2 linked regions of the Arabidopsis thaliana genome follow. The protein of the gene in region 1 interacts with the protein of each later gene in a pairwise test. Each region holds a gene or a part of one and is shown on either strand. Other genes may lie near its edges. The genes, in order: CRK2 and MLO9.

What was found.
Region 2: the proteins of CRK2 (region 1) and MLO9 interact in a protein complementation assay, tested with the Arabidopsis thaliana proteins (one large-scale study listed by BioGRID).

Annotation. Positions count from the first base shown.
Region 1 is NC_003070.9:26,584,018-26,589,453, forward strand, and holds CRK2 (cysteine-rich RLK (RECEPTOR-like protein kinase) 2), read right to left. Parts: upstream 3,612-5,436; 5' UTR 3,318-3,611; coding exon 2,549-3,317; intron 2,475-2,548; coding exon 2,361-2,474; intron 2,280-2,360; coding exon 2,140-2,279; intron 2,053-2,139; coding exon 1,842-2,052; intron 1,748-1,841; coding exon 1,513-1,747; intron 1,431-1,512; coding exon 1,280-1,430; intron 1,201-1,279; coding exon 871-1,200; 3' UTR 712-870; downstream 1-711. Other genes in the region: CRK3 (cysteine-rich RLK (RECEPTOR-like protein kinase) 3), read right to left, coding at 4,733-5,065, 5,151-5,295, 5,385-5,436.
Region 2 is NC_003070.9:15,979,474-15,985,710, reverse strand, and holds MLO9 (Seven transmembrane MLO family protein), read left to right. Parts: upstream 1-2,139; 5' UTR 2,140-2,382; coding exon 2,383-2,523; intron 2,524-2,615; coding exon 2,616-2,673; intron 2,674-3,153; coding exon 3,154-3,383; intron 3,384-3,456; coding exon 3,457-3,573; intron 3,574-3,656; coding exon 3,657-3,714; intron 3,715-3,811; coding exon 3,812-3,900; intron 3,901-3,980; coding exon 3,981-4,055; intron 4,056-4,131; coding exon 4,132-4,220; intron 4,221-4,299; coding exon 4,300-4,349; intron 4,350-4,436; coding exon 4,437-4,477; intron 4,478-4,570; coding exon 4,571-4,744; coding exon of another isoform or gene 4,745-4,768; exon of another isoform or gene 4,769-4,809; intron 4,810-4,957; coding exon 4,958-4,993; intron 4,994-5,092; coding exon 5,093-5,160; intron 5,161-5,246; coding exon 5,247-5,307; intron 5,308-5,406; coding exon 5,407-5,502; 3' UTR 5,503-5,576; downstream 5,577-6,237. Other genes in the region: PMI1 (plastid movement impaired1), read right to left, coding at 5,977-6,237.

The sequences.
Region 1 (5,436 bases):
ACCAAAAAGGAAGTTACGTTTTGGTTGAAACTTTTTTTCGATATAACGTTTACAAAGAATCATCTTTTTCGCTCACAAAATATTATATATCAAAAGGTAAGAGAGAACATGAATGATGATCAATTTAAGAAGTTGAATAATTTCAACTCCATTGCTACTTTTATTCTAAATGGTTTCTTTGTATACAAAAATTTGTCTGTTCCTAACATATGTTGTGGTGGTTGCTACAGGTAGTCTTGGTTTGTGGAGCAGAAGCCAGTTTCTGAGGACTTGACAAATACAACACACGTTGACATCAACCTACCAATGCTGCTCTATTTGTCCAGAGAGAAGCCCGCCTGGTTCTGAGATCCCGTACAAGAAAGCAGGAGCACATAGTTTCTAAGTTCTGATCTATGTGTCCAGATAGAAGCAGCCTGGTTCTGAGATCACAACAAGAAAGCAGGAGCACAAACAACAACAAAGCTTGAGCTCGAGTACCTACCTTAAACTGCTGCATTGAACCACCAATCTTATATGTTTGCAAGTCTGGTGTGGATGAGGATAACATTTTTTTGAAGATGGCATATGTTGGGAAATTCTCAGACATTTCATTCTTTGTTTCTGTTGTCTTCTCTCTTGCAAACTCGCAAGTCCGTTTATAAGCTTGCAAACTATTAAAGATAAATGTTTGAAGCTATGGGTTGGTTGAAGAAATCGCACCTAGAGCTTGAATTATTGAGTACTTTTTTTTTGTTATCAAGTATGATACATAAGATATAACTTACCTATACTATCTAGCTTCTCTCACTGGTTTATACACAAAATTTTAGTTTCTGCTCAAAGATCAAAGATTTTGTATTCTCTTCTTCTTATACACTTCTTCAAAGCTCATCTACCATAAAAGGAACTTTGTGAGACAGTGGCAAGAGATGCACAACCAGCTGAATCACCATCAGAACCATCTCGAAGTTCCATGACTCTTTCATCCATAAACGGAGGATTACTCGGCAATGGCAAGACCTCCTCTTTGTTCTTTAGCATATGTAATAACTTAGACATCGGTGGTCTTAGCGAAGGGATCTCTTGAGTGCACAATAGCCCTATTTGAACAACTCTTGCTATCTCTTTCTTGATGATGTGACTGTCATACTGACTCTTCCAATCGAGGTTTGGATCATATATTTTCTCCAACTCTCCTGACTGAAAATGCTTCCATGCCTTCAATAAAAAACATAACACCACAATTAGTTTGAGAAGTGAAACCTGCAGACCCATAGACAAAATATGTCTAACTTACCTCTGTGATCAAACTGTCTGAGTAATCTGACATTTTGCTTTTGGTGTTCTGTTTTCCAGTTACAATCTCTAGTACAAGAACTCCAAAGCTGTAAACGTCTACCATCTCTGTTAGCTGACCATGTGCTAAGTACTCCGGAGCCATATAACCTCTGCAGTTTCACAAGTATTGGATCAGCTCAAACATTCATATCTTTTTGAAGAAATGGTACATTTTTCTGAATATATACTTACAAGGTCCCTGCAATGGCAGTGCTAATATGGCTCTTATCGTCCTGGAATGATCTCGCCAGACCAAAATCGGCGATTTTAGCTTGAAGCTTTGAATCTAGCAGAATATTACTTGCTTTTATGTCTCTGTGAATAATTTTCACAGACGACTGCTCATGCAGATACACCAATCCTTCAGCGGTTCCAACGATGATCGTGTATCTTCTCTGCCAGTCTAATGTTTTCCCTCTGTTCACGTCTGCAAAAGTAATAATGAAGACAGGTTTAGTGTGCTGCTGCATTCAAGATTCAACAATAAAAACTCATCATATAGTATTATTAGTAGTAGTTACCAAAGATGAATCGATCAAGGCTCTTGTTCTGAAGGTATTCATAGACAAGGAGACTCTCTGGTCCTGAGCAGCTGCAACCAAGCAGCCTAACAAGGTTCTTATGTTCAACAGTGCTGATCATGTTGACTTCATTGTAGAAATCGGTTGCTCTATGTCTGTTGTTAAAGAATAACCGCTTCACAGCGATATCTCTTCCGTCTGGAAGAACCCCCTAAACAAGCCAGAGAGATACCACTATATCACTCATTTGCTTTACAGGAAGGTATAGAAAGAGAGACATGATCATACACACACATACCTTATAGACAGTTCCAAATCCGCCTTGTCCAAGCTTGTTCGCGTTGTCAAAAGAACCTGTGGCTTTCTCTAGTGTTGAGTATTTGAAATTCAAGCTACTGTCTTTTAGTGTTTTCGCCATTTTCTCAACATCTTTTGATCCTGTTAAGCACCAAAGATCTCGGTTAAAAACACTCAATCCTTCTTAAACCAATTCATCACAAATCAAGAAACTAATCTTACCTCTTCTCTTCCTCTTTATGGTCCGACGTTTGCAGATATAAACACTTACTGCTACTCCAATCATGAAGACAACCACAGAGCTAAGTACTGACACCACAATCACTACCACAGAGCCTGCAAAAACAATTACTTATGACCATCAAGCGAATGAGATTCTATAGAAAGCATGAATCTTTTTATTGTGTTACCTCTTGATCTTCCGTTTCTTGGTATCTTATTCAAGAAATCTTGATCAGAGTACCGAAGGAAACATCCAGTGTGAAGCGCACGTCCTTCTGACCATGGCAAACATCCTTTAACCACAGAAGCAGAGGCATTCTCCAAACACTGTTTACAAGAATCAGGACTCAAAGTTCTCCAACAATTCGCCAACACAAACGCTGATTCAGATTCAGATTCACCCGCCTTTGCAGACGCACGAGCGTACCCTCCAGTCCCAGAAGCCTCAGTAACAGCATTTCTCAGCCCTTGTCTCACCGCATCACCAAAAGTCTTATTCTTTCTCGTCGTGTTTCCACATACGATGCTATCTTCAGGTCCTTTGTATTCATTATAGAAACTATAATTCTCAGCTCTCATAAAACATCCATCAAGAAAGATTCTACCTCCGTTCTGAGGATAACACTGCGGAAGCATCGTCCTTGCTTCCGCGTAACAGAGTACACAATCGTTTAAAGGAAGATCACCATAGCACTGCGCAAGACCATAGTTAGCGTCTGGTCCTGTACCGGTGAGAGCAACTCCAAAACCGGAAGTTTGTACTTGTGTGCTGATTTTCTCCATTGTGGCTACGAAATTTGGGACATAAGCGGTTTCGTTGTGCTCAAGCAAAGGTGAGCAAGTGACTTTAACGGCTCTAGCCCTTGCGTCTCCGGTGATTTGACGGAGTGATGAAAGAAGAAACATCAAGAGACATGGAAGGTACAGAGGAAGGATATGGACAGGTTCTTTCTTCATTTTGTTTTGTTTGATTGAGAAAGAGATCTCCTTTTTTTATTCCCTCATCAAGGGTTTTGTGTTCTGTTTCAAGTTGTGAAGAAAGAAGAAGCAGAGAGATTAAGAATTGGAGATGATGAAATTGAAGAATTTTCAACTGCTTGACTTTGATGATATTGGTTTGTTAGAGTCAACCAAATTTGCTGTCTTTCTCTCTCTCTCTCTACTGGTTTAGTCAAAAAGTTAATAAAAAAAATTGATAATGGAGATTGTTGGATTTCTTCTTAGTCTTGAATTCACACTTGGAAACCAAACCAGCTCGATCATGTTGTTGAAGTCGTTGTCTTCATTCAAATATTTGTCGTTTTCATAAACCTAAAAACCAGTGGACTAATAATTAATAGAGCTTATCTTATGTGGAGCCGGTTCGGTTTAATTGGATAAATCTCTTTACCGGTATCATGAAAAATTCAATTTTCTGATTAGTTAAAGAAAAAAGAAAACGTCACATATGCGTAGTGTTTAGTAAGATGACATTCAAGAAAATGGATAAAGTGACGTTAGACTACTTTAAATAAAGAAATAGGTTTGTTGGGTTGATTTTTTTTTTGTCAATTTGTTGGGTTGATTTAGTAGGCCTAGTTGGTATAGTACAATAAAAGTTGTACAAATAATAAAAATATATATAACAAAATACCATTTACATGTTGCCATGGTCAAAGTTTTATTCAAGATCAATTGCAAAGAAAAATGAGAAGTAGTTGGACATTCAATTCTAAAAATGTTAAATCTAGTTGGCTATAATAAAGACATATGTAGTATATGTGTTTCTATCTAGTAGTCTCCTATGGCTTCCTTGAAAGAAAACAAAAACACTGATAAAAAGTCCTTGATTCGAATCCACTTGTGCAAAAATTAGGAGATCATGATCCAAACTTTGCGGTAATAAATTTAGTGAATTTTTAGTGATTTGATTTTTTTCTTGTGTACATTTAATATGTTTCATATTTTGATTCTTAGGTAAATATCCTTATGGCATTATTTGGTTTTACTCGAATTTCTTTGCATTTGTGGTTGCATTTTTCTATTTAAATATGACATTTACTCTTTCTCTTTTTGTAAAGTTAAAACGAGAACAAACACAAAAACCGCTTACTAATATACAAAGCTACTCAAAATTAACACACAAAATAAAACTACTGAACCGTAAACCGAATCACTACAATCAAAACCGAGGCTAAACCGGAATCTGTCCCCGTCATGTAAGCTCTACATTGTTCACTTCCTAGCTTCTATGACATTGTCGTGGCACATAAGTAACCCTCAGTTCCTAGCTAACACACGATTAATTGGCATCTCAATTTTTGTACATATGACACAAGATGATTCAGAATCCACACGAAAGGATACTGATATATCTAACACGATCTAAAACCTCATCTAGGTTCAAAGAAACTCGAACCCTCGGTTATGTAGTCACTCCTTGATCCTGAAGAATTAGACTGATTCGTCGTGGGAGTCATCATCATCTTTCTCATCTCTACTACACTTCCTGGATTCAGAAACGGTGGTTGCGTCGGCGTATGAATCTCCAAACTCCCTTTCATCATTTTCACAACCACAGACATCGCAGGCCGCTGATCAAACGCTGCTTGAACACAGAGAAGCCCAATTTGAAGTAGCCGTGACGCTTCTATCTTGTTGAAGTTATCACCTAAGATTGGATCCACTGCCTCTTCCACATTGCTTGTTCTGTACAGACTCCATACCTAAAATATGTTTTCAAGATTCAAGAAAAAGGATTTGATCTAAAATCAAGAAAATGTTTGAACTACTTGTAGAGAGTTAGTTTACCGATTGTAGGATCGAACCAGCGTCTTGTACGAAGGCATTGTTACGTTTTCCGGTTATAACTTCAATCATAAGAACTCCAAAACTATAAACGTCTGCTTTCTCAGTTAGTTTTCCTCGTACTACATATTCTGGTGCCATGTAGCCTCTGTTTCCACAAGTAAGAATCTTCAGAAACAACACAAGAAACGGTAGAGAGAGATATTAAAGTTACAAAGATAAGTTTTGAGACTTTACAGTGTACCGGCGATGGCAGTGCTGATATGAGTCTTGTCCTCTGGGAACAATC
Region 2 (6,237 bases), about 11 Mb from region 1:
GAATAATTTAAATTTTTGTTTCTTAAGAAACCAATAGCTCTTAACCATTGGAGTAGAAATTAGTTAAGTTTTTGTTAACTTTTCTTAACTTAGTAAAAGCAATATTTTAATTTAAAATAAGGCTAAGATTCAAAATTAAAAACCAATTGGTTCTAAACCATTGGAGTTGCTCTTATAACTCGAAATTCAAATTTTAGGGGTTTAACAACTTACAAGGTTACAAATAAAGTATCAACATTGATGGGGTTGAGGCAAGAAAAAGGAAATTGTGTGGGGCTACAACTCGACAACCCAATTAAATAAGAAAACTAGGCATGACCATTGTTACGGTTATAAAGTTTCTTTAATCGTAACCTTAACCATTATATATACGGTTAAGATGGTTATATTTAGATACAATTACGGTTGAATACGGTTACAGTTACAATGATTACGGTTAAATATGTTTATGGTTATTCGACTTTTTTATTGCTTTTAAAAATGAAAAGTATGTTTTAGATTATTTTTATATGCGATATTATTTACTTTTTTGAAATTCTTTTCCTGAACATTTGATATATATTTTTGTATTACAAATATTTAAAATTGTATTTTTACGGTTTTAACTATGTTGTTATCTATGTAGTTAATCGTACGGTTCACCGTACTTTTAACTACGAGTTTGATATGGTTACGTTTTATTGACGGGTATAGTTAGTATATTTTTTTTAACTGTAACTATTCCATTTTTATTGTCAACACTTACGGTTATTAACCGTTTTATACGGTTACAGTTTGAAAATAGTCCGGTTACGGCCCGAAATACGGTTACGGTTTAATTTTGGTCATGTCTAAAAAAAACTAACAAATATATGCTAATTTGCGGGTTAGGCAAAAATTATTTTGATCCAAAAATTTCCGAATATCCAAAAATTCGAATATCCAGATTTTTTTGTGATATTTGCGGAAATTCGCTTTGATACATCTAATTATTTTTCTCAAAAAAATTGTTTGACATGATGTCAAAATAAGTTCCAAAAAACAGAACATAACTATTTTTGATATCACTGATCAAGAAAATACCATCAAACTAATTCTAAAAACTAAGGGCATCTCCAACGCAAAAAGATGGTGTGAGTCTCTCAATTATATTTTTTAATCAGTTAATAATAAATAAATCATTTATTTAAATTTTAAATTATAAATAAAAAAATCTGACCAATCATAAAGACACAAGTATTAAAGTGGGTTTCTCATATGAGAAACGTATCTCTTTCTCTTTCCACCTTTTTCATTACTTTTTATTTTTTTAATCTTCAGTTACTCATTGAGAAACTGTTGTTGGAGATGACCTAAAACCTGATAGTTTAAGATACCACTAACATGAAAGAAAAATGATCAAACTTACATCTTAACATAAAAACACAAGATTTCCAAAGAAGAAAAATACTGAAGTTACAAATATAAACCCAAAAATATATAAATATACAAACTATATTATGATATTTATATATATACATAATTATATATTCTAATATATATATATATATATATATATAAAATACGAATCAAAGCGGATAATATTTGTTATTTGCATCGATTTTTACGAATATTATATTTTCCTATTTGATTTGCTTGAAAATCTTACGGATATTCGGATTTTTGAATCAAATCAAATAAAAAACTGAGTCGAAACGGATCTAATGAATATTTTGTTCGGGCCTAGCTCTAAAAATTGTCTCTCTTTAATATGATGCGAGTCTTCTGTAATATGATACAGATTTTTTTACTTATATCCTATTAAAATAGTATAAATTAGGCGATGGTATCACTTTTCCCACTATTTTCTACATTTTATGCAGTAAGAAATGGAACAATTCTTTGTAGTACATAAAGACGATTTGTCCAGTTTATTTTCTTCTTACTAGCATTTTAATTGCACATGCTTTTTAATTTTGCATGCTAGTTTAATTTATTAATTATTCTAACGAATACTATATATCTAGAATCCAATTGCTTAATGATGTCTATTGTAGTTTGCTAACGACGTCTCTTTAATTCTCTCATTTTTTTTCTTCTAAATTTCCTCCACCAATTATTCCGTACTCGTTCTTCTCCATACATTCCCACTTAAATAATGTGGAAACCTGTAAAATAGGGAAGACAATAAATTGATAAAAAAAACAAAATTAATATTTTTTAAAAAATAACTCACCGGATTTGTCTACACTCTTATCTACTATTTTCGCATGCTCGTCAATGGCAACATCATCCCTTTCCTTTTCATTCTCTCTATCTCTTTGACTTCATTTTTATTGTCTCTTCTCTTTTGAAATTGAAATTCTGATACCAAACACATACTAAAAAATAAAAATAAAAAGATAATCATCACGGTTTTAAGTAATGGCTGGAGGTGGTGGTGGAGGAGGTGGCGAAGGTCCAAGACAGCTAGACCAGACCCCGACTTGGGCCGTTTCTACAGTTTGTGGTGTTATCATCTTGATCTCCATTATTTTGGAACTCATCATTCACAAAGTCGGCGAGGTGATTTGATAGAGAACACCATTATACCTTATGGATGTATATATGCTTTGCATTTGCTACTTTTTTGGTTACACTTAATTCCATGCTTGTAGGTTTTCGAACGAAAGAAGAAGAAAGCTTTGTTTGAAGCTCTTGAGAAGATTAAAAATGGTAACAATATAGAAATTATTTTTTTTGGTTTCTTGAAATCAAGGAACAATTGTTTTCGTTCATATATATATATATATATATATATATATATATATATATATTTTCTTTATTAATTTAAAGACGATAATACAAATATATCAGTGAGCACACAGATTGAAGCTCTACAAACCACACAACCAATATATGAGTTTAACAAAGTAATCAAAAAAGTGAAAAACACGTTGATTTCCGTAATAGATAAGCCTCACACGCTAACAGAATAAATCAATCTGTTATTTTCTTTGACCGTCTTCGTCTTCAATCTATTTTGGTCTTCTGGTTGGAGTGCTATCTTTTCTTTTATGTAGTGAAGATGGAATTTTTCGTGTGGTTAGCGTATGGTTAGGGATGTAACTGATGGATCGTATCCCTATTATTTTCATGAAAAGTTTTGGTTCCTATATATATATATTTAACTCAAAATTATGTTACATATTGTAGAGCTTATGGTTTTGGGATTTATTTCCCTGCTTCTAACATTTGGCCAAAACTACATTGCGAGCATATGTGTTCCATCAAGATACGGCCATGCAATGTCTTTTTGTGGTCCATATGATGGACCTAGTGAAGATGATCGTAAAAAGCTCAAGAAAACAGACCATGCAATGCGTATTCTCTACTCTGTTCAACGTCGTTCTTTGGCCGACGCTCCTCCAGTAAATTGCAAGAAAGTAATATTAACTACTGTTTCAGCATAAAAGTTTTAAGTAGTTTTATTAACTTATTATTTTGTTATCGTTTCAGGATTATGTCGCACTTATATCATTAAACGCATTACATCAAGTGCATATATTCATATTCTTCTTGGCCGTGTTCCATGTTATATATAGTGCTATAACCATGATGCTTGGAAGAGCCAAGGTATATTGGTAGAAATTTTTCACATTGTATATATGTGTTGATGATGATTTTAATTGAACTAATTCGTTTTTTCGTAAACATAGATTCGTGGCTGGAAAGTATGGGAGCAAGAGGTCATCCATGAACAAGAAATGATGAATGGTAGAGTGAACTTTATATTTTGCATGGTGATCAAAATTTTACTGTCCTAGCTAATCAAAATTTTACTGTCCTTGCTATTTTTATTTTTTTAATACAGATCCATCAAGATTTAGACTCACACATGAGACATCATTTGTCCGAGAACATGTCAATTCTTGGGCTAGCAATAAATTCTTCTTCTACGTTGTACGATTTTCTTAAATTCTAAGTGTTATTCTTGCACAATTATCATCTCTAATCTAATGGAACTAGAGGTTAATTTTCAGATGTGCTTCTTCCGTCAAATACTTAGATCAGTGAGGAAGTCTGATTACTTGACAATGCGACATGGATTCATAAGTGTGAGTGCATTAATATCTTACATTAATTCTCCATTAATATCCAATTGTTTGTTGCTCTAAAACCCTATGTATTTAGGTTCATTTGGCACCTGGTATGAAGTTTGATTTTCAAAAGTACATCAAAAGATCTTTGGAAGACGACTTCAAGGTGGTTGTAGGAATAAGGTAACTCATATCCTCTTTCACATTTTTAGTCTAGTTTGCTTTATTTGTTTCTAATGAAATCTACCACTGATGATGACAGACCCGAGCTTTGGGCCTTTGTAATGTTGTTTTTACTCTTCGATGTTCACGGTTAGTCTTTAGTTTATCGTACTTCTACATTATGATATCTTGACTTACTAATAATTGATCTATATATAAAAACAAAAAACTTTATAGGATGGTATGTTACTGCCGTAATCACCATGATTCCTCCTCTAGTAAGTCATTAATTTATCTACTATACGAAGCTCATTCTTACTTCAAAAAGATTAAAGAACATTTTATGAACTAATTGTGGTTTATGTTTAAAGTTAACACTAGCCATAGGAACAAAGCTACAAGCCATTATATCGTACATGGCATTGGAGATTCAAGAGAGACATGCAGTAATTCAAGGGATGCCAGTTGTCAACGTCTCAGACCAACATTTTTGGTTTGAAAAACCCGATCTAGTACTTCATATGATCCACTTCGTTCTGTTTCAGGTGAAAATTTATATAAGTGAATGATATATGTGATGTTTTAGTGATCCGAATCCGACACCATCCGAACCAAAACCGAACCGAATAGTCGTATAATCCGAACGGATAACAAACTCCCTCATCCGAATTATCCAAACTGAATCCGAACCGAAATCCGAATGCCTAAGCCTATGATTTAGTATAATTACTGATTTTATTTTTTTGGATACTTTTCAGAATGCTTTTGAGATAACTTATTTTTTTTGGATATGGGTAAACTTTTCAGAATCTCTTCTTCTAGTTTTTACTTTATGTTGGTACTAATTGCTTCTAGAAATTTTTATAATAATGTTATAATTATTCTTGTTGCAGTATGAGTTTGGGCTAAGGTCCTGTTTTCATCACCATTTTGGCCTTATAATCATTCGTGTCTGCCTAGGGTGAGTAATAGTATTATCATAAACAATTTTTTTTACCAAGTTTTCGATCGAGTTTGTGAAAATTGAATATATGGTCTTGGCTTTAGGGTGGGAGTACAATTCCTATGCAGTTATATCACATTGCCCCTTTACGCTCTCGTCACTCAGGTATGCAACATTTATATATCTTTTTTTCTTCCTTTGAATGTTTTCATAGAGTTAGTTGTTTTATCATTGCATAATTCTTTTACAATATATATTTTATAGATGGGATCCACAATGAAGCGATCAGTGTTTGATGAGCAAACTTCAAAAGCATTAGAACAATGGCATAAGAAGGCGAGGAAAAAGAATGAAAAGTGAGAATAATTGGCTTCTCCTTTTAATCTATGGATAGACCAAATTTAACAGTCTAATAGTTTGGTTACTTAATAGTCTATACACAATTTTTGGAAAATAGGATTTAGCTATGTAATTATTATTTATTATATAAATTCCTTACGTGGGTTTAATTTTTGAGTTGATTTTTTCTCTACATGTTTATCATGTCCTATTTATAGTTTTGTACAAAATAGTTTTGGAAAGGTAGAATTTTTATGCATTTGTACACTTTAGAGTTAATATATAAAAGACTTTCTTAGAAAAGAAAACCAGAAAAAAACAATACATAACATTAGGGAAAATTAGTTGAACCAATTCCTGAAATTTAAAAATTTGGTAAAAAGACATTTGACTAATGTTTGTTGCAGGTAAAATTTGAAACTCTTAAAAAATAATATACAAAACATAAATAAACAAATGCATCTTATTGTATAGTATGAATACCTCCAAGATCAACTAATGCAATTTCACATCAGGGTTCCTTATAGATTTAAGCCACATATCCGCCATTACTCTAGATGACAAGCTCCACAACATCTCCTCTTCTTCTTCTTCCTTCTCCTTCTTCTTTATATTACTCTTCTTCTTCCCTTTCTTTCCCATTCCGTGTTCCACAAGCCATTGCGCCGCGGTAAGCCTCCGCTTCTCCGCCGCATCTTTCTTCACTCCCCCAATGTGCAAACTTCCTACCTTTAACCCTTTCTCCTCCTCCTCTTC